Linked DNA regions of Astyanax mexicanus. The protein of the gene in region 1 purifies or fractionates together with the protein of each later gene. This does not show direct contact. Links are inferred from orthologs where the notes say so. Each region holds a gene or a part of one and is shown on either strand. Other genes may lie near its edges.

What was found.
Region 2: the proteins of U2 snRNP-associated SURP motif-containing protein (region 1) and calcium homeostasis endoplasmic reticulum protein purify together in Homo sapiens (affinity purification with mass spectrometry; 4 studies listed by BioGRID and IntAct, with this or other methods). This does not show direct contact. The link is inferred for Astyanax mexicanus from reciprocal best matches to the Homo sapiens genes U2SURP and CHERP.

Annotation. Positions count from the first base shown.
Region 1 is NC_064425.1:41,494,658-41,505,540, reverse strand, and holds the start of U2 snRNP-associated SURP motif-containing protein, read right to left. Parts: upstream 5,297-10,883; 5' UTR 5,240-5,296; coding exon 5,195-5,239; intron 2,831-5,194; coding exon 2,732-2,830; intron 2,523-2,731; coding exon 2,411-2,522; intron 2,082-2,410; coding exon 1,960-2,081; intron 1,866-1,959; coding exon 1,798-1,865; intron 1,699-1,797; coding exon 1,610-1,698; intron 463-1,609; coding exon 427-462; intron 295-426; coding exon 212-294; intron 1-211.
Region 2 is NC_064423.1:27,378,732-27,390,224, reverse strand, and holds the start of calcium homeostasis endoplasmic reticulum protein, read right to left. Parts: upstream 5,402-11,493; 5' UTR 5,264-5,401; coding exon 5,239-5,263; intron 3,884-5,238; coding exon 3,710-3,883; intron 3,356-3,709; coding exon 3,320-3,355; intron 2,575-3,319; coding exon 2,405-2,574; intron 1,308-2,404; coding exon 1,170-1,307; intron 1,075-1,169; coding exon 923-1,074; intron 832-922; coding exon 720-831; intron 445-719; coding exon 355-444; intron 69-354; coding exon 1-68. Other genes in the region: zinc finger protein 615, read left to right, coding at 6,106-6,376, 7,385-7,446, 8,053-8,146, 8,854-9,470. UniProt on the Homo sapiens protein: Involved in calcium homeostasis, growth and proliferation.

The DNA.
Region 1 (10,883 bases):
CAGTGTTATTTATAGCTTTAAGTTCTGTTTACAGATAGTGTCTGACAGTGTATGAGAGTTAACAAAAATGTAGCTGTTATATAGCAACTCATGGAGAATGATGCATATATAAGCCAAACATAACATTTCCTTTTTAAATGTGGAACTGCTGATTTACAGTCGCTCTGCAACATCAAATTACCAACAAAACAACAGCAAGTCATCCAGTTACCTGAGGATTTATATTTCCCAGGTAAAGGTTTGTGGTGGATGGGTCTCCAACATCGTGTGAGCCTGGAGCGGAGTCGTCCAAAACTGAAAAATCAAAAGCACCAGCTGATCAACTCACAGGGTAAACCGGCTCAGTTCATCATTCACCCATAATAGCTTCCATTCACAGCCAAATGCTCATTAGATTGCATTACACAGTATATAAAGCAAAATTACCACTGGACGGACGGTTTCTTCGTGAAGAACCATCCGCTAAAAAAAGCAGAAAAGCAGTGTAAATTTTGTTTCCACAATAAAACACACACTGCTATATAGTGGGAGTGGCCAATATATGTATGGGAGGGGTTTTCACGAGTGGGTCAGTCCCAAAATAAATGGCTAGCACATAACTGATATAATTACTAAGAATGTCCCACGAGATACAAATAGTGCTGGGTAATACTAATTCAATATTACAATATTTTTCAAATTTTAGATTAAAGCATTACAAGTTACAAGAAAAACCAAACAAAAAACAAGCAAAAAACAAGTGAAAAAAGCTATTTACAGTTGTATGTTTTTTCTTTGAGGAGATGAGACAAAATAAATAAATGTTTTTAAAAAATCATATTGACAAATACATGCACCAATATTAGAGATGCACCATAATGAAAATGTGTGTTCAAAAATCAAACCGAACAAAACAAAACATTTGGCTGAAGGCCAAAAACGCAACACAATTTTGCCACTGAAATACATAGCCTAGTAAATACATTAACTGTTGTGCTTGTTTTTTAATATCTGTTTGGAATAAATTATTTGTACATAATCAATACATTCCTAAATAATATAATATCTCTAATCTGCCTATTTAATGTACTGAAGTTTATCCCCATTCCTTAACACTTTTAAGCTATTAATAGTTCTAGCCCGTGCAACTTTTCATCGTAGAAAAATATAGGGCAGTCTTTAAGGTACCATACTTGTAAGAGACAAATACAAGTTTGAAAATGAACATATAAAATTTTATTGTGGTTTTAGTTCACAAGCAACCATTAAGCAAAACTCTGGGAAAAAAATAAAACATAAGAAATTAAGAGATCAGCTCTTCACATGTTTTTTTTCACTACCGAAGTTGTTACTATCAATAAGAAGAAATTTCACTTTATGAATATATCTAGACTATTTATGCAACAATTAAAAACATGGTCAATTTAATTGGCATTCAGCCAAATGTTTAGTTTTGTTCAGTTTTGGCCAAAAATGTATTTCGGTGCATCACTAACAGGGTATGAATGTCATGGTAGTATATGAGCCACATACTGCCCAGCACTATATAGGTCTCGACTCTTTAATTTTATATAAATACCCCCTGAACAATGCTCCACTCTGCAGTCCATTATCTATTGATTATACTTACAGGATCTTCTTCCCTCCATAGCAGACAGAGGTTCAAATCTACTGACTCGTCCCTTCAGCCTGTGCCGCTCATCCCGCTCCTCCTGGATCCTACAGAACAACAGGTAGAAGACGGTACCGATATTAAGCACTTTATCACAATACAAGTAATTATTTGACCAAAACAAAAACAGGAAATAGAGAACATACTGTTTCAGCTCTTCTTTAAAAAGCTCCAGGTTGCTCTTTTTCTTTTCTTTTTCTCCTTTCTTTGATGCCTTGGGATATAAAGATAATAAAATATTTAAAAGTGACCTAAAAGAAATTTACATACATTTGTTCAAACAAGCATTAAGAAAACAGAGTACTTACATTACGCTTGTCTATCGCAAGAAACTGTGGTGGTGTTTCAAGCGGCAAAAAACTTTTTGCCTCCAAAACACGTGATTTGGGTTTGTAGAGCTTTCCTTTCTTCTCATCCACTGCAGCTTCCTCTACAGGAAAAGCAAAAGCATAGAAAGGTGTTCAAACTCAGTGTCTAATGTCTGCAATGGCACGAATGGCAGAAAATTACATTTTTATGAATAATATATGCATTTCAGCCACCAGGCATCAATACAAAGTACTGCATTTGCCCCTTTTACATGCTGTCAGTGTCAACTAGGGTTGGGAATCACAGGGCATCACACAACAGAATTCATGCACACAAACGCAAATTACGACACTGGCACAGTCCTGCAGTACAGAACAGACCTCGCTGCCATCATACAGTACTGTACTTTTCCGCCACTATACCTTATTTAAATAATTTTGAGTAATTTACCTTTGGTGGCATTGGCGATGCCCCCTCTGACAAAGGTCTTTACTCTGCCTTCACCTCCTTCAAACGCAGCGAGGAACTCTTCATAGATTTCAGCAGCTGCTTTTTCATCCTCCTGTAAATGTTCAGCATAACAACATATTTAATGGAATACTTTCAAAATAAAACTAAAACAGATCAATCTTCTGTAGGATATTCATTTAACATATGCACAGAGAACTGCTATAATTTGGACAAATCCACTTATCATCTACATCTCTACATCTCTCAGTCCTTCCACTGTTCCACTTCATCAGATATCAGTAGTAGCACTGACTCACTCACCTTTTTCTTTAATTCATCTTGTTCCTTTTTGCTCAAGGTTCTTTTAGCCACAGCCATCTTTCCAATACTGAAGGCTTTCAGCTTACTCTCCAACAAAGCCTGCAGAGAAACGTAGACAAATTAGATTCACTGGAACTGGAACAGTAAACATGACAGCAGTGTTTCTGTCAAAAATGAATAAACCTTTCCTTTGTTTAGATAATCATCACTTGTAATATTTTGTTATATTTGTGTGTTAAATTTGAGTGTAGGTGTAGGTGTAGGGTTGTCTCTTATTCTTACGGTTCTAACAGACAAAAAAAAAAACACAAAAAGTGACTCAGTATTGGCCAATACAATGACAATATTTGCCTCAAACTGGAACGCTCCTGAAACTAAATCTACTGCTTTTGCTGGAGTAACTGACTCTACAGTGCATTTTGGAGCACTGCTGTGAAAATTTGGCTGCATTCGGCAACTGCATTTCTAGTGAAGTCAGGACATTGGAAGATCATCACAACATCATCATTGTAGAAAAGTCCCAATGCTTTACAGCTCAATGCTGGGGGATTTATACTTCTCTATCTTACACCTGGCCTGGCATGATGCCAACTAGTTTGTGTTTAATCACTGCTGAGCATACCTAAAGTTAAGGTAGAGATAGCGAAGGTCAAAAATTACTCTAGTAAAACAGAAGTTCTTTCTTTATACCTCAACATGAGAAAAAAAGTATTTGCTTTTCTGTGTAAAAGTACTAGGCTTTTGTGTTCTATTATCATTTTTATACAGAAGTGGATGCAATTGCATCTACATAACCAGTCAAAAGTTTGGAGAGTCATTTTTCATTATTTAAAAAAAAAATCTGCATTGTAGATGAATACTAAATCAAAAAACTATGAAGGAAAAAAACAGGAAATTATTTAGTAAACTAAAAAGTATTAAACAAACCAGAATATGTTTTATATTTTAGATTCTTCCAAGATTCTCTAGCTTAGATGACAGCTTTGCACATTTTCTCAGTCAGCTTTATAAGGTAGTCACCTGGAATGACCTTCAAGACTTGTTGAGAGTTAATTACTTGAATTTCTTGCCTCTTAATGTGTTTGAGAGCATCAGTTGTAAAGTTGTGAAGAGGTAGAGTTGGTATAGAGTGAAAAGCCCTATTTGAGTAATGTTCTAATCCATGTTATGGCAAGAACTACTCAACTAAGTAAAGGAAAAAATACTGGAAGGTCTGTCAATCCAAAATATTTGAAGATCTTTGCAAGCATCCTCAAGTGCACCTGCAAAGCCCATCACACACGTTATGATGAAACTGGCTCTCATCAGGACCACCCAAGGAAAGCCAAAGAATAAGTTCATTAGAATTAGCAGCCCGCCTAAAAGCTTCACAGAGTATTTTGGTTTAACACTTTTAAGTTACTACATGATTCATGTGTTCTTTCATAGTCTTGGTTAGTTTAACAGTCATTTGCAATGTAGGAAACAAGAAATAACATGGAATGAGAAGGGTCGAAACTTCTTTTTGGTACTGTACTTCATTACTGTCCACCACTGATGTTCACCTGTTCCTGAAAGTGCAAACTAGATATTTTATTGGCAGTATCTATATTCTCTACTAACTATAGACTATAGAACTATAAGTAGACAAGCTGTATGTGTACATTTGCACATCAGTATATTAAGAATGGGTGCAACCTAACGTAGCTAGCTGACTAAATAATTAATTAAAAGGGGTCGTCCAGAAATAATTGAAACACAGTGTGTGTAAATATAAATATATATATAAAACCTTTAATGTGAACACCAAGCTAACCAGCTAACACTAGATTATCCAGCAGACCCCACTGTTTACTCAGTCACGTGGTTGGCTAAATAAGGGAACTTTCCATAATATTCGCGCCAAATAATGATTATTAACCTATTAAACGACATTGTTTATCACATAGACTTGTTGTAATACCGCACAGCATGAAGAGAAACGCTGTATAAAGAGCTAAAACAGTCGTAGAAGCTGCTACACAGCTCAATGTAACGCTGACTGGTTTGTTAGCTTGATGGTATCAAACCTAGCTAAGCTAGCTCTAGCTAGCTACACCGTTCAGATTAGCTAGCTAAGCTAAGTACAATAAAATATCACCAATACAATATAATAATGAATTTAAAACGACCATTTACGATCCATAATCGATCTAAAACGCTTATGTACGCTGCCTTTCCGAATATTACCCGCAGAATTTGCTTTTGTGTAGTGTTGAGTGATTCTGACATTTATTAGCGATCTAGCCGTTAGCCGCTAGCTTCCCCAGCGCGAGCTCTTTAACCTAGCTAAGCTAACCGGCTAAATCCACTATACTGAGCAGATTTAACACACACAGGCCCCTCAGAACCGCACCAGCCGAAACCGCGCACACCTAAAACACAACATTTACACAATTAACGCAGATTCGGAGCTTAATTAAAGGCAGAAATGTGCTGAATTACCTTGGAGTTGGCCTTGTGAGCCCCGCCTGGCGTCCTGTCCGCCATCTCCAAGCAGTGCAGTAGCAGCAGCGGGCTGCGTTCAATCAGCAGCAGGAGCTCTAACCCGATTCAAAACAGCAACGTGGAACTGAAATCACTTAAACAGACCCTTTAAAATAATGATAATAATAACGATACATTGTTAATGACTAATAATGTAATATAATACGGATATTATAAAATATTATTTAATAATATATAAAAAAATAATATAATTAAATATTGATACTAAGGACTTTTTATGTCAAAATAGACCTAGGGATTTGCAAATATTTACAGTCTTTGTATCTTTTCTATTTGTTGAACAAAGTATAGTTTGCATATACATTTTGATTTCCATTTCAAAAACCACGAACAGTGGGATTCTATTTTTAATTTTACATTTAACAATATAAAATAACCTTAAATTAGCTAAAATTATAATTAGATTAATGTATAATATTGATCTATCTTATGCTTAACATTATTAAATCCAACTAAAACTTTTTTTCATAACAAATCTTATCAAGTTTTTTCCAAAACATTTTAACAAACTCACAATTCCAAAACAAATAGTATAATAAGGTTTCTGGGTGTACATCACAGAACGAGCAATTTGAAAATCTTTTTTTAATTTGGTTAAACAATGGTTTGTTGGGTAGCATCTATGTAGTACTTGAAATGTAATCTCCTTTCCTTTCTACGTCTCACATATATTGGTTCCAGTAAAATTTTACATTATAAACTGAGACAATGTCTTTTGGAAAAAAAAATGTAATTTGCCATTATTTTTGAGTTCAAAGGAGAAGCATACCTTGCCAATTGCAGTATTTATTGGGTCGTCTACAGCTGTAAAAGTAGGTGGTATTTTGGTTATTTAATAATAATCACGTGGGCTCACATTGGTGAAGTGTGGGCTAAGAGGGTTTCAGGTGGTCATAGGCTCTGGGTGGGTTTGTACAGGTGTTGTTACTGGGACCCAGGTGGGGTTCACAAATGGACTTTATTATTACAGCCTATTTTAATATCACATTGGTCCCATCTAGGACCCATGTACAGTGTACAACCCAGAGGGGATCATGTTTAACTCCTCCTAGTCCCATCACTGACCCTGGTGGGCATATACAGTATACTGGGGGGGGCAACATGGCACTGTAAAAGGTAACACCACTTTTCAACATAATTTTTTAAAAGTTTTAATCTGCATGAAAGGTACGTATGACTAAACACACTTGGGCAAATTACACTTTACTCTTTCAAGATCTTACTTAAATAATGTAGCATCATATTTATGCATGCATCTTCCCTAATCCATGACATAATGGCATGTCCCTTACCATTAACTTACCCTCAGTGTAGTCTTCCCCACCATAGCTACCTTTTTGGGGGGTATTCAGTTACATTTTATATAATGGTTAATAGACTGGCTACGGTGTTGTAAGCCATAATTGCATGTGAAAGGAACTCTGAGCTGGATGAATTTTCCCATTTTTTCAAGTAATAAAGAAAATAGTCTAGCCGAAAGGATGTATTCATTTCATACTCTATTAATAAACAAAAACTTAAACTAGCTTTTTTTTTATTCTTTTTTTGAGTGTTTACTACCTATTAAACATTTCGCTCTATCCAAACATTTCACTCTTTCCAAACATTTCACTTTTTCCAAATTAATCTAAAATAATTTTAGATCATTTTACATTTAATTGTTTACTTTACTCCAGTCAAACGTTTAGACACACCTTTAAATTCAGTAGTTTTTCATTTTTTAAAAAATGCTCTGATTCATAGATTAACACTAAACTCATTTAAACTAAGAAAAAAAAATATGAAATTATTTAATAAAACCCAAAAGTGTTAAAAATACTAGTTTTTTTTTTAGGTTATTTTAGGTTCTTCAAAGTAGGCCCTAACTGTTTTCATGTCTTTAATATTAGTAAACAGAAATGTAGAAAAATAACAAAAACATTGAATGAGAAAGTGTGTCCAAACTTTTGACTGGTACTGTATATATTATAAAATATATTTAATTACAGAGGGGATAAATAAATAAAAAAAAAATACAAAAATAAAGCTTATTAATAATGGCTTATTTAGAGTAGGCTACCCAGCATGCTAATACTTACAGAGACCACACGATTTATACTATCTAGGCTCTACAAATATAATAGTTTAATCATGCATTGTAAAATTATACAAATTTATTATACAAAACAATAATAAAACAGCCCGTACAAAAACACATATTGGTACTGACATAAGTTAACAGACACAGCAATAGGTGTTAAATAAATATTTTATTTTTTAGAAATATTTACATCCTTTATAAAGAAAAAATAAGGTAGAATGATTAAACATGTGATTTTATTATTGCTTTTGGTGATTATTCTGATGATAATGATAAACAGCAAAGTGGTGGTGATGATGATGATGATGGTGATGATAGCTAGCTCTGCTCTTAGCATTCACCGCGTGCCTTAATTGAATGAAATTAAATCAAGGTCCGCCGCGAACACGCAGAGTAGGAGCCTAAAATTGCTTTTCCTGTGGACAAAAATTAGTTTTTATAGGTTTAAAACGTAGAAGCGAATTAAATAAAGCCGGAACGAAATTATTAGAAAGACTTTTCATATTTAACGCGACAAAAAAATCCCAACATTTGGGGGTTAGCCTCTCATTGGCCGGCTTGTGGTTGGAATTTTCCGTTCCACCTTAAATAGCGCTGCAGTTGCATTAGGACGCCTCAGGCCTCCTAATGCAACTGCAGCGCTATTTAAGGTGGAACGGAAAATTCCAACCACAAGCCGGCCAATGAGAGGCTAACGTAATGTTATAATGCTATATAATGGAAAATACCAATACTATCAGGTATGTTATCCATTATAGGCCCAAATTGCGCTTTTCATTTGATTGATTTCGCCTCCTTAAGCCTATAATAATAGTAGCGTTAAATAACACGCTAAAAATAGCCGCATTATTAAGTACACAACATAACACCATCATTTCCAAGCTAAACATCTTGAATACCATCCAAAAAATCGAAAGAATCCCAAAATTCATATAGGAAAATTAACCACAATAAAAAATATGCTGATATTCAGTCACTAGAATCTCCATCCTCGTGATACGCTTTGCAAAAAAACGTCTTAAAACGCTAAAATAAATAAATAAAACACACGTATAAACACACATATATAAGGCTCGACGACCGCAATTTCGACACCTTGTGCCTCCATCATCTTCCAGAGATAGCCCCTCAGTCCGGATGCAACCCCCTCCTGGTCCTTCATCCCGGCTGTTCTGCTGCTGCAGCACCGGAGCATCCTCTCATCCTCCTTATTCTCCATCTTTTCCCACTAAAAAACACGATTAAACGAATGAACACCCCCAATCTTTACCCTTTATTCTGTAGATAATAACCCAGGATGGGGGAGCTGCACCGAGCACCCGGAGCAGGAGGGATGCTGGTGACGTCACAACTCCCTCCCACCCGCCTGCGAAATAAACAAATAAATAAATAAACACTAAAAAATAAATAAATAATGGAAAAAAACATATAATGAGGTATATTACAATATATATTGCAGTATTTATCATTGGAATTAAATAGAAATAAATTAGTGGTGTCAATCGATACAAAATGAATCAAATTAAGTGTGATCTATGTTCCAGTTATGAAAAATATAGAAGAATGTTGTTTTCTGTCTGTAATACAGCTCTGGAAAAAAAATTAGCCCTTAAAAAATGATGAGTTTCTAGGATTTTACCAAATTGAAAACCTCTGGAATATAATCAAGAGGAAGATAGATGATCACAAGCCATCAAACCAAGCTGAACTGCTTAAACATTTGCACCAGGAGTGGCATAAAGTTATCCAAAAGCAGTGTGTAAGACTGGTGGAGGAGAACATGCCAAGATGCATGAAAACTGTGATTAAAAACCAGGGTTATTGCACCAAATATGGATTTCTCTTAAATCTTAACACTCTGAAAACTTTATGAATATGAACTTGTTTTCCTTACATTATTTGAGGTCTAAAAGCTCTTTATCTTTTTTGTTATTTCAGCCATTTCTCATTTTCTGCAAGTAAATACTCTTAATGACAATATTTTTATTTTGTCCGTAGTTTAGAATAAAACAACAATGTTCATTTTAGCCAAACATATACCTATAAATAGCAAAATCAGAAAAGGATGATTCAGAAACTGAAGTGGTCTCTTAATTTTTTTCCAGAGCTATATATATTGTTTGTATTTTTATGTTAATTGCAGTGTAATCATTTGTTACGCATTGTTATTTTTTCTTTTATATAACTTTTTATTTTTTTTATTTCACAAATCATCACTAGGCGGTAAAATTAACCCATAACATGATTTTTCCAATGCAGTAGGTGAAGCTAAGGTGCTGTTTTTGATTGGCTGATACATATTACTAAATCAGGGATGAAATCACGATTATTTTTTTTAATGCTGGTACTTGGAAAGGTGACAAACATAATGGTGTAGTGTGTTTTTAATGTATTATGATATATCAGGGAAGTTTTGATGCTTTTTAAACTAGAATAGTGTAATGTTCTGAGTAACTGAGTTTACCTAAACTTAACTGAGTTTTAATGGAGGACATAAACACTAGTGTAACTCCATATTCCACACTCAACAGCTTGAAAAGAGAAAACGTGCCATCAGTTTTTTGTATGTTTGTGTTTGTGTGAGCATGACCACACGAGTCTGAGAGAAAGACGAAAAGACATACATAAAAAAAACCTCCTGAACTTAACAGTAAGTGTCTCTTAATAAAAGTACTAATGTGCCACCAGGCCCTGTCAATTTTGTAAACTAAAATGAAGATATAACATAAATCTCGATACCTTTCTAAAAAAACTGTAAAACTAATATAAACAAAACACATATGACACCAGATTTCTCCTTTAAGAAGATTTACGAATGATTTAAGACATTTATCATACATTGGAGCAATAGAGCCAAATGCTCCTAATTCAAAAATGAGGAAATATTCATTAAAAAGACAGAAAACTGTTAACATTTTAACATTTTAACAGCCTCAAATTGTAGATCATTTCTAGATAGCTAATGTAACTGCAGTGCTATTTAAGGTGAAATACAAGCTGCCCAATGAGAGTCTAACGTATGTTATTCTGCTATATACTATGTTATGATAAATGATGTAGTTTTCATGTTATGTTATGAGTCAGTTCTGTCAGGCTTTTTGCTGCATATCTCAGATTTTGCTCATGTTTTATCTGTTACTTGTGAAAGATAATTGTATCATATCTTACTGTAAATATATTGTACTATACTGGCCTTACAGAACTTATGTGTTGATTCAGGTCTGTACTGTCATCCTGTAACATTACAACTCCAACTCCAGATTTTACAGAGCATTTTGTAAATATCATATCCTTATAACATACACACACCCTTCACATGTGTGTTAATGAAAGACGGCAACAAAAGTGATTTGATTTAAAACTATTTGTATCAAAATGCTAGAAACATTAATCCCAGCAGAAAAAACAGATGAACTTATTTATTTGTTTATTTTTTGTTACTTATTCATTTATGTGGATATATCCAAGTTATTACATTAATAGTTTTACATGGTTAAATATACTTATAAAATGTATCACAAGTAAATGTAAAAAGTGATAAAAGCA
Region 2 (11,493 bases), on another chromosome or scaffold:
TGGATCTGCTGCTGGAAGGCCAGCTGCACGGGCTGCACCACTCCAGCATATTCCGTGATTAGAGACGCCTAGAGATTGCAGATTAGTTACAAATATAGAATTAGTTAATTAGGTACCATTAATACACATGGATAAAAAATATGTGATGATTCTCTGGTATTAAAAATGGATTCCAAGCTTTGTAGCTTTTGGTTACAAGTCAAGTATAAAATGACAAATAAAATGAACCCACATACATATATATATGCATAACAAAAATATTACTGCAAATAATTGCTAACATTACTGCTACATATTACTGTGTAATATGGCTAATATAAGTTTTAGTACAGTAAGTTTTGCTGATTGCAGTACCTGATACTGTCCAAGGCCTAGCGCAGGACTCTGGAGCTGCTGAATGGTGACATCATCAAAGTAACCGTTCTTTTCCCACAGCTGGAGCAACTAGAAATAGTACAAAGAGATTATGTTTAAATAACAAATATCTTGTTTTAATATCTGTTAGATGTTGTATGTTAGAAAAAGTATTTTATTTTTTATTTATTTATTTATTTTTATTTATTTTTTTTTACATTTTTTTGAGTATTATTTTAGTAAACAAAATTGATTCCGTTCTGTTAACAGTCACTGGCAGACTGATGCATATACATACAGCTAACACATTTTGCATGCCTTTAATAAACTATGTGCTTATACTTTGGGTCGCTCAACAAACATACCCGTGTGATTTTCTGCTGCTTGTCTTCCTCCACAGCCAGGAAGCTGGTGCAATAGATAGGCACCACAACCTTCTGCAGGGCGGCCAGCAGATCCCTCTGATTCTTCCTTTGGCTGTGGAACCATAACAACGCAAGTCAATACTACGATTAGAATACACTACAACAATGCCACTACATTTTTATGTCCAAGTCCTGTGGTGTACCAGTGGTGTAGGACGTCATTCATGAGATAGATGAGATGTAGGCGGAGCTCGAAATGTGCCGTTTCTGCTGTAATGCGGTTGCGCAGGTGTGAGGTCATCAGCTCGCAGTGCTGTGGGGATTTAGCGTTGTTGAACATCCAGTTCTTTCCAGCCTAAAAAAAGAGAACAGCAGCGAATCTCTCAGATTAAACGTTACGGTGCTGAAGGCAAGCAAGTCTTTCTACAGTGAGGTCTATTTGCTGCTCACCGAAATGGCATCCTTGGTGCAGGTGTCGATGATTGGCTGGAGGAGGCCGTCAAACTCAGTCATGTCCAGCTGCGTCTCCACCAGCAGTTTCTGAGTCTGCTGCTCCATGGCCAAACCAATAGCTGCAGTTACTTGCTCCTACAGATAAAGAGAAAAAGGTGGTCCAGAATGTGAACCTTCCAGACTTCTATACTTATTTGTGCAGAACTTGCTTTTTTTTTAGTCCCATTTAATTAGAGGAATGCAATGCTTAAAGAAAGATTTTTTTTTTTCTGAATACATAAATGTGACTGTAGGACTATCACAGTATAAACAGTAACAATACATGTTTTTACATACGATTTCTTATGTTTTATGGGAAGATTGTATTAAACATATACTTTTTCCTTTATGTTTTGTAAAAATTAGTGCATACTTCATCAAATCACATTACATTTGATTAGAATTAGTATAAATTGTGTTATTCCAATTCTATTAACATTATATGCAGAACATTATGACCATTTCCTTGTTTCTACAAGAAATATTATTCACTGAGCATTAGTGGCAGTTTGTTGATCTATAATCACAGACTCTAGTTTCTGTGTTTCTCTGTAAACTTTATAATTCCGCTGTTTTTAATAGTCAGGACCACCTTAGAGCAGCTATTATTTGGGGTGTGTATTATTCACAGCACTGCAGTAACACTGGCATGGTGGAGTGTTGTGCATGTTGACACAGTGGTGTTGATAGAGTTGTAAAACATTTCAGTGACACTACTGGACTAGAGTAATCCACCAACAGTGTCCTGTGGGCAGAATCCTGTGGGCAGCATCCTGTGGGCAGCATCCTGTGGGCAGCATCCTGTGGGCAGCATCCTGTGGGCAGCATCCTGTGGGCAGCATCCTGTGGGCAGCATCCTGTGAGCAGCATCCTGTGAGCAGCATCCTGTGACCGCTGATTAAGGACTAGAGAATGAAAACACAAACTGTGCAACAGAGGAGCTTCTGTCTAATAGAGTGGATGTTGAGTGTCTAAAAACTCCAGCAGCACTGCTGTCTTTGATCCATTTAATTATACTACCACCATGCCAGTGTCACTGCAGTGCTGAGAATGAATGACCCACCATTGAAGGACAGAATGAAAGGACGATAATAAAGAAGAAGAACTACAGCCTGTAATTACAGTAATTACAATAAACCCAACCTGTATGTTTGAACTGACCAATAAAACAGATAAAATGTAGGAGGAGTTACCTGTCTGAGGCTGTTCAGGTGCTGCTCCTGCTGCTGGAGGTTCCACTGGCTCTGCTGAATGAGCTCCTCCACTGAAGGTGTACTGGGGGGGATAGGTGGAGGTGGAAGCAAGGACATTGGTGGAGGAACATCTGGGACTTCTTTACCAGGTGGTTTGCAATGCACTGCAACTGAAAGCACAGTTATTCTTTAATGGTACTAACTACTAAGTTCATTAGTTTAACAAACAAACACAAAAAGATAGAATATATATTTTTTAAAAACTCGAAAAAAAACAGATACACATCATCATGAAACAACCAGAGGCAACATCCAAAATCAAAAACTAGAAAGAACAACTGTAAGGAGTAAATGACTTTGTTTAATGGGCATTCTCAAAGCAAAGCCATCCAGTTGAGATATTATTAACAGCATGCATGCAACCGTACTCACACATGCTGGTTTTGTTTGCCCTGTTTTTCAGTGTTTAATAATGCCCATGAAAAACTAGAACAAACTGTTTAAGAGGGAACTGAGCTGTGGAACGTATGAGGCTACACTGAAGTCATACAACCAAACTGAATTAAAAAAAAAAAAATTATAACACAACAAGCAAGTAACTAAGGAAAGAACAATGAGATGTTTCCATTCTGAGCCTAAACAAATCTGTCCAACATTTTATTTAGTCAGTTTTGGGTTTGTATGCTAATGAATTTACTGGGCAGGCTGTTTTTTTTTTATCATCACAAGCAACTGAAGCTCCCTTCCCACAACCTTGTACAAAACATAAGACAAAACGCCTGACAAAGCTCAATATAAAATAAAGAGAAAAAGGCATTAAGCACTGATGATGCAAAAATACTCAATGACACCAGGCAAAGTGTGAATATTATACAGTAAATATAGATTGCGTCCAATTGTCAATCTAGTAAATACCTTCCATTTTATATTCATCATCGTGAGTGGTTGGATCTATGAGGAAAAAAGGATGACTTAGATACAAAACAAAGCATATTTGCACATTCCTGCACATTGGGGGGAAAACTTGACTGGATAAATCTATATGAATTTTACATTTCTTTAAGCATTTAATTCTGAAGCTACATCATTAAATGCTAGGTTAGTAAGCAAACAAGTTCAGTTCAGTTTCTAATACACACACTAATTTAACAACCCTTTATGGCCCTGGAGGGCCAGTTTCCTGCACAGTTTATAACCAATTTAACTAATCAGTTCATTGCCAAGTCAATCAGCAAACTGTGCAAAACTCTGCCCCCCAGTTCCCCAAAGCTGCACTAGCAGTTAGAACTGTTTCAGTGTACATACGCTGCTGTTGCTCAATTGCAAGCTTGTACTTGTAGTATCCAAAGTAATCTCCTCCGAAGAGAAAGGAGAATTTCGGATTGTCCTTCTGCTTCTCCATGGTCATCTTTTCAAACTCAGGCCCATTGCGGGCCACAAACTGCGCCAGCTTGTCAATGACATTGCGAAGCTCTTGATCTGGAACAACAAAAACAAAACACCACAAAAAAATGTTGACAGAAATCACATTATATATGTGAATTATTACCATGATCACTGAATGTTTACTGAGTCAAAATGTACATGCTAAGAAAGCTTCCTTTTACTTTTGGATAGACTTAATTCTTGTCTAGGAAACAAGCACTTATTGTTCAGCATCACCGTGAGTAGTAACAAATCTGTTACATGTACTTAGGGCTGAACAATATGTCCAAAACTAATATCAAAATATTTTTCTTAATTTCAGTTGATATGAATAGTATAGCATCCGCTTGTGGTGACTGTAATCATGTACTGATGCTGCTGGGTGATATGGTTATGTATGTATATAGAAGAAGAATATGTATCAGGATACAGTAAAATATCAACATACAATACGGGCAATTTTATTAATTAGAATTTTTAAATGGTTTAAATGTTAGACTTTTACTTCTACTCAAGTATATTCATGACAAGGGTGATTTTTTTATTAATTTATGTTATGTTGGCAGCATTATGAGTAATGTTAAACATTTATTTTAGACAAACATTGCACAATAAGAAAGACTGGCAAATGTCTTGAAGAGATATACTTGCCAGATTTATGTTTAACAGATGTACGTTTGAATTTACTCAAGTACATTCACACTTAAGGTATTTAGCTATTTACTTCTACTGAATTTGTTTTGGGAAGGTACTTGTATTACCTGTCATTATTATGTTAACAAATAAACTATACTTTTGTTTGAAAGTATGTGTTTAGACAGAAAGTCTAATTTCTGAAAACAAGTGCTATGAGTCATTAATATTAATATAGTGAAGAAAAGAGTAATAATTGTTAGCTTTCTCAGGCACTGGATACACACAGCACAACCAGCAAAGGAACAGAAGTATACGTTTACATCTGAATACATTTATTACTGATTCCAGGGTTTACTGACCAACTCTGATTCAACAGATAACCTGATAGAAATACATAATTCTTGGCTGAAAGAGAGAATACATAGCTTAAGCTGGGCTCTGTAACATTGGTTGTTTAAGTTAATCAGAAGAGCAGTGGCCATGGTGTTTCTCTCAATTAGCTAGCTTAGCTTAGCTCTATCTAATCCTGTGCACTCTCCTCAGATACGAACAGAAGCTACGACTAACTGAAAGAAGGTAAAGCACGCCGTTTTGATACACAGTTACACATGTAACCTGAAACCGCTCCATTAACGCGTTATAAACAACTGGGCTCTTCTTTAGTGAACAGTGGCTAATCGGCTAACCCGCAGCATGAGCCATTCAGAGCCTGGGCTATAGCTAACCGGGGTAGCTGTTAGCTAAGCTCAGTTGATCTACTGCTCATATCTCACCTTCTGGGGGAGTTGGGATATCCATAATGATCAAACCCAGACCTTTATCCGGTGAGTTACAGCTCAGTATGGAGATATTAAAGCTCTTTAAAGAGCTCGGCTCAGGGAAAGATAATTTTTCTGCACTGTGAAACCATCGCCAGGAGCCGAGTTGATTTCCGGCCGCGTTAGACTGAATTTCAAAATACATGCCCGACTTAATTGGGATATTTTAAAAGTTACATTATGTTCAGTGAAAATATACTGTATACATTAACCCTGGGGAGTGAGAATGAAGAAATATGGATTTTGTTAAATATAAAAACAGAGGAATAGGAGTACAAAATTATATTTATTGATTGAATTGATTGTAGAGATTTAATAAGCTGTTCTCTTGATTTATCAGTCTTCTTTATAATTTATGTATATAGCCAGTTCACTCAAATTAGCTTACTACAGTGTCCACTCTCAAATGTGTAACATCCTTGTAAAAATGTAAAAATAAATATATATATATATATATATATATATATATATATATAAAAATATATATAAGCAATTTTGGGAAATATCACTGAGCATAATTTACAGATTATTATTATTATTTTGCTTTACATATAATATTTATAAAATAACATTATTTTAATTATGAGTGTATATTTAATCTTAATTTAAGACAGACTCTGTATGAAACCCCCTGATCGAGCTGACTGTAATGAGCCTTTAAGTTGAAGAGGAAACCGCGCTGATCTCCGGCTCTTCCGCTCACGCCAGTTGGTGGCGACTTGCTCCATTATTTTTCAAAGAGCAAAAACAAAGAGAACCGGGAGGATTAGACTCGAGTTCAGCGGAGTTCAGAAGTGACCGGTTTCAGCAGATTTTACCGCGATGGCAGAAACATATTTCCACGTTCAGCTCACCGCTATTCTGGACATGCTGCTTAAAACAGCGGCGGTGGATATCTGCGCTCTGGCTGACAGCGTCTTCTCATCTCTACAGAGGGAAATAGAGAGATGCACGTCTGAAAACGACGAGCTGAGGCGGCAGCTCCAGAGTTTTCTATCAGAACCGAACATTTCAGAACCGATAGAAGCGGCTCCGCTAAAAACTAGAGAGAAAAACTGTAGAACGGAAGAGGATGTGGCTGGAAAATCACACGGTCAGTGCTGCAGGACTGAAATCAGCCTCTGTTCTTCTCTTACTTTTCTCTGCTGCAGCTTAATTAGGAATACAATGTGTTTCAGTGTATATATAGTGATTTATCGGTATTTCACATCGTTTCCAAATGTATATATGTAGAAATATAATTTTAAAAAGACAAACCATTCCCCCTAAAACAAAATAATCCCCCTAATGTATTAAATGAATCTTTTTCCTTGATTTAAAAATCTGTGCCCTCTATTCAGTGTAATTGTTAATTGTTTCCTCTGTTAAGTGTAACCCTCTATAGCAGGACTGTTTATGAAGAAGTAACCGTTTCACTTCTATTTTGAGGAGCTTGTCCTTGTTGATAGATCAGTACAAAAATGTGCAAAGAATGATCTAACATAATAATTTAGATCGTTGTCTTGAGGCATCAAATGGGAAAAATATATTTAATATGTACATAAAAACAAAATATGCCTTTAAACAGACAAAAATACTTGTTTTCCAGTACATGCACATTTTATTTTTTAAAGGTTGTTTTCATTTTTTAAATGTTAGGTATGTATGTATTGCAATATCAGCTATGTTTTGCACTACTGATATTTGTTTTATAAATCGTTTAAGATGTAAAGATGCGTGGCAGAGAATGGTTTATTTAGTGTTGTTTTTAAACCCCCAGCCACACCTCAAGATCCCAATATTCTGATTGCAAAAAAAACTTTTCTTATAATCTGACTTTATGCAGTTGATTATGTGCTTTTCATGTTATGACATTCATACAGAAATACATAGAGAAAAAATTTTTGATTACCCATATATTATGATACTATGATATTATGATAAATATCGTATTGCCAGTACACAGCCCTATTAGGTAATTGAGAATGCTAATTTATTCAATTGAGGGATGCCTACATCTCTAAATACATATGTATATGTAATTACATAATATGTATACTTTTGCTTCTTAGAATTGAACTTTTCAAGGGGAAAGCTCAAACGTGACTTTTTCTCTTTTCAGATTCTAAACAGAAGACAAACAATATGGAGACTAATACAGGAGCAGTCAAAAGTAGTCAGCGGGTAAGATTTTAAAGGTCTCTTTCAGTGTGTTTTAACCCTGGGCTTGTAGGCACAATACGAATCAGGTCCAAGTCAGTGGTTGGGAAACACTGGTCTATATGATGTTGTTTCAGGGCAGGTTGTGAATGATTTGTGCACTTACTGAATAATAAGGCACATGTTTTATGCAGTTTTCATTTAAGGTGTACTGACATTCAGAGTCGGTTTAGGTGTAAAGTTGTGGTTGTTTTTTGAGAAACGCCTGACTCTGATTTGTTTGCGGTGGTGGTGGTGGTAATTGGATTCAGGGGACTTCATGTGTGGAATGCAAAAATATTTATATGTAATGCTTAGTTTTGTAAAATATTGGTAAATCCTAAAGAATAAGTTTTCTTTTTTTTTTTCTTACAGTATTATGAATTCGGACTGCACAGTATATGTTTACGCATTGTGCATATGCAAAATAAACATATTGCAGGACATGCAATATCACAAAGTAAATGAAACCGTACATTTAATAACTTTCTTGTTTAAAAAGAGTACATTTATGTTTATGGTTTTATACAGTAAGCACTTGAGTAGAACAGTGACTAAATAAATATTGCATTTATTTGTTTGTTTTTGAAGCTGCAGAAGCGGAGAGCTGTATCAGCAGGAGTTAAAGTGGAGGTGACTGAGATGTATGTTACAAACCAGTGCATGCAAGATAGCATGGATGATGGTAAGGGCATTTATTAAAAAAACATGCACTAATAAGCCATAAGATTAAAAACATGAATTATCTGATAACAAAAACAACATCACCAAAACATCAGGCATCAGATTGTGGGGTGTTCCTGGTGTGCAGTTGTCAGTACCAACCAAAAAATGCTCCTAAGAAAGACCACTGGTGAACCAAAGTAGTATCAGGGTCATGAGTGTCTAAGACTCATTGATGTAACCTAGGGAGGCCCCACCTCACAGCTTTCAAGACTTAAAGGATCTGCTGCTAACGTCTTGGTGCCAGATATCACAGATCACCTTCAATGGTCTTATGGAGTCCATGTTTCTATAGGTCAGTGCTGTTAAGGTTGCACAAGTGGGACCTGCTCAACGTTAGAAGGTTGTTCTTTTGGGAATTTTTAATAGATGTATATTTGCTAGATACTATATTAATGTTTTAGAACAAATGCTGCCACTTTTGCCCTCTAGTTTGTCTGTTCATTTGAATTAAAAACCACACACTGATGTTTGAAGTTTTTGGTGTGAGGCTGTGAATTTTGGCAATAATATGTGAGTCTCACAGGCAGTGTTTGAGACTTAGAGGTATGTCCTCACAGGCTAAAGCACTGATAGTCACGTCTTGGATTAAGAACCAGCTAAGAATGTACTAGTAAACATATTCAGTATGTTTATTTCCAGTAAAGTGTTTCTTTTATTGTTCTACAGATGCAGAAATAAACGATCAACTTTCAGACCTCAGTCCTGAACTCAAGACTGAATTAAAGCACAACGCTGCATCCGGATCACATCTCAACTGGAACGACTGCAGCATTAAAGACTTTGAGGAGGAAGAAGAGGAGAATTCTTTATCTCTGGAGGGGCAGGAAGACATAGAGGACCTAAACACTCATTATGTACCATATGCCCAGTCTTCTAGAGACGAGGAAGATGAGGAAAGAGACAAAGACCAGCTGCAGCATGACCCAATGTCTTTGCCACGGACACGAGATTTACAGTGTTCCTTCATACAGATTGATGGAACTGTGACTGCTGCTGTTCCCCACAATAATGATAGGCAGGCACAATGTAAGAGTGTTTGTCCTATCTGTGGAAAAAGAGTGATGTCAGAAAAAAGACTGAGAGTTCACATTAAAACACATTCTGATCTGAGGCCCTACACATGCTTTCAGTGTGGGAAGAGTTTCACTCGAAAAGCAACCCTGAATTTCCACCAGAATATCCACAGAGGGGTGAAACCGTATGCCTGCAACTTCTGCCCAAAGTCATTTGCTGACCCAAGTGCTCTACGCAGACATAAAGCCATACACAAGGTGATGGGTTAGGACTGGAGTATTAATCACACAGTGAGAGCATGCTAACTTACATACTTGAAGCTGGTAAGGGGGACTTGGTGAGGGTAAATGAGACAAGTCCAATGTCTTCTCCAAATCAGTGCTTACTCTGTTGATTGAAAATGCTCTTATGAACTTCATCGAATGACTTCTGAGTCTACATTACAATTCCAGGTTTTTGGAATCTCAGTGTTTTCTATACAAATCTAATTCTGCTGCAGAAAGATGTGTAAATGATATGTAATATGTTTCTGGCTTGTGTATCTTGGTTGTGAAAACTGAGAATCCAAAACATTTTTGAAAGTGGTGATTAAATTTCAAGGCAAGTTAAATTTGATTCTTACTGTTCAGATTTTGCTGGTTCCCAGTATGTATTTTGGTATTTTTGGTTTATATTGTTATATAACTATTGTCACTGAATAACAGGAATTACTAATACGCTTCTTCATTTTACCATAATCTAAAACAAGCATGAACTGTTCGTTTGATGACATTTGTTGTAAAAAAAAACAAAAACGCTTTATAAATAAAATTTAAATGAATTGAATTTGTTAAACATCTGCGTGGCAGAAATGGTATTACAACTTGCCCCAAAGGGACGCTTTCCATGCTGGATATATAAAAATATCTGATTCAAGAATACTATTATCAGTAACAGGAAGATGTGATAAATCTATTTTTTATGCCAAGTAGATGCAAATGTAAGTGTGATAAAAAGTGAAATATTGAAATATATTTTATGTTTGTTGCATCTGTAATACATATTTTCCATGAACCTGCATAAAAACTTTTTTTAAAAATGAACTGTTGTGAATTTATAATACAGTGAGTTCTCTCACCATTTACTTTGGGGAGGTGGGGGGGGGGGGGGGGGCTTAGTGTGTTCTTAATGGACCCAAAAGTGGATATTCTATGGTATTAAAAACAATAGCATATCAAATCAAGAGGAATATTTTTAAATACTAATTGTACTTTTTTGTATTTGTTTGCATTTGGAAATTGATTGGAATGTCTGTACCATGTCAAAGTACCATTAAACAAAATTTGCTTAAGCATTAACTGATGGATAAACGCAGATGCTAAGATGAAAAGGGGGGGTAGTGGATCAGAGATACTTGTTTATCTGTCTGCTCCTCTAGATGGAGCTAAAACCCTGGTTTGGAAACCAGCTGTCTTCCTCAGTATGGATCAAAAAGGAGAAGAGAACACAAACAGGTTTCCCTCCTCCAGATCCTCATATTTGTGAATGATTTAGCCGGTGTAATCTTGTTATACCTGCTGGCTTGTAGTTTATAAAAGGTAAGAGTGTATTTCTATTTTTAGTGTTAGGTGGTGGTGGGAGTGTGTGGATGGTCAGTGTTGTTCCCTGCAGATTACTGTATAACTAGATTATAAACACACCTGCACTGATCAGCTGCATTCACTGACTGTACTGTATCTACAGTTTGATTCTTGTGGGATATTCTGCAGTTTCCTCTTATGTTAGCCTGCAGTTTTTGGACATTGTACTGTATGTTATATAGGTATATATACATATATTCATAAATACATTTGTGTTTTTAGTTATAGGGCCCACATCATGCTTTAAAATTTAAATTTAAAATGTAAAACTCACATGTGATACACAGTCTGTGGATCAGCACCTTCTTAAAATAATTGCTTCGTTAATTTTTGCCCAATCAGAAATAATCCTAATTCAAATGTTTTACATTTTAACAGCCAGAAACTGTAGAGCATTTCAAGATAGCTTTATGTAATAAAAATCCAGACTAAAAAACACAATAATAAGACTGAACAACTATGCAATATTTATAGCCTATAGCCTTTATTAATAAGAAGTAAACTTTATATTATAGTAAAAATCTCATCTCTAATTTTTAAACGAGCCCTGAGTTGTGAAAATTATTTTGGTGAAGTCACAATTTATTTTGATTTATTTTTTATTTAGTTAGTTATACGCATTACATACATAGGCCATTAATCCTAAAAGTGCAGAATGAAATGGTTTGATCAA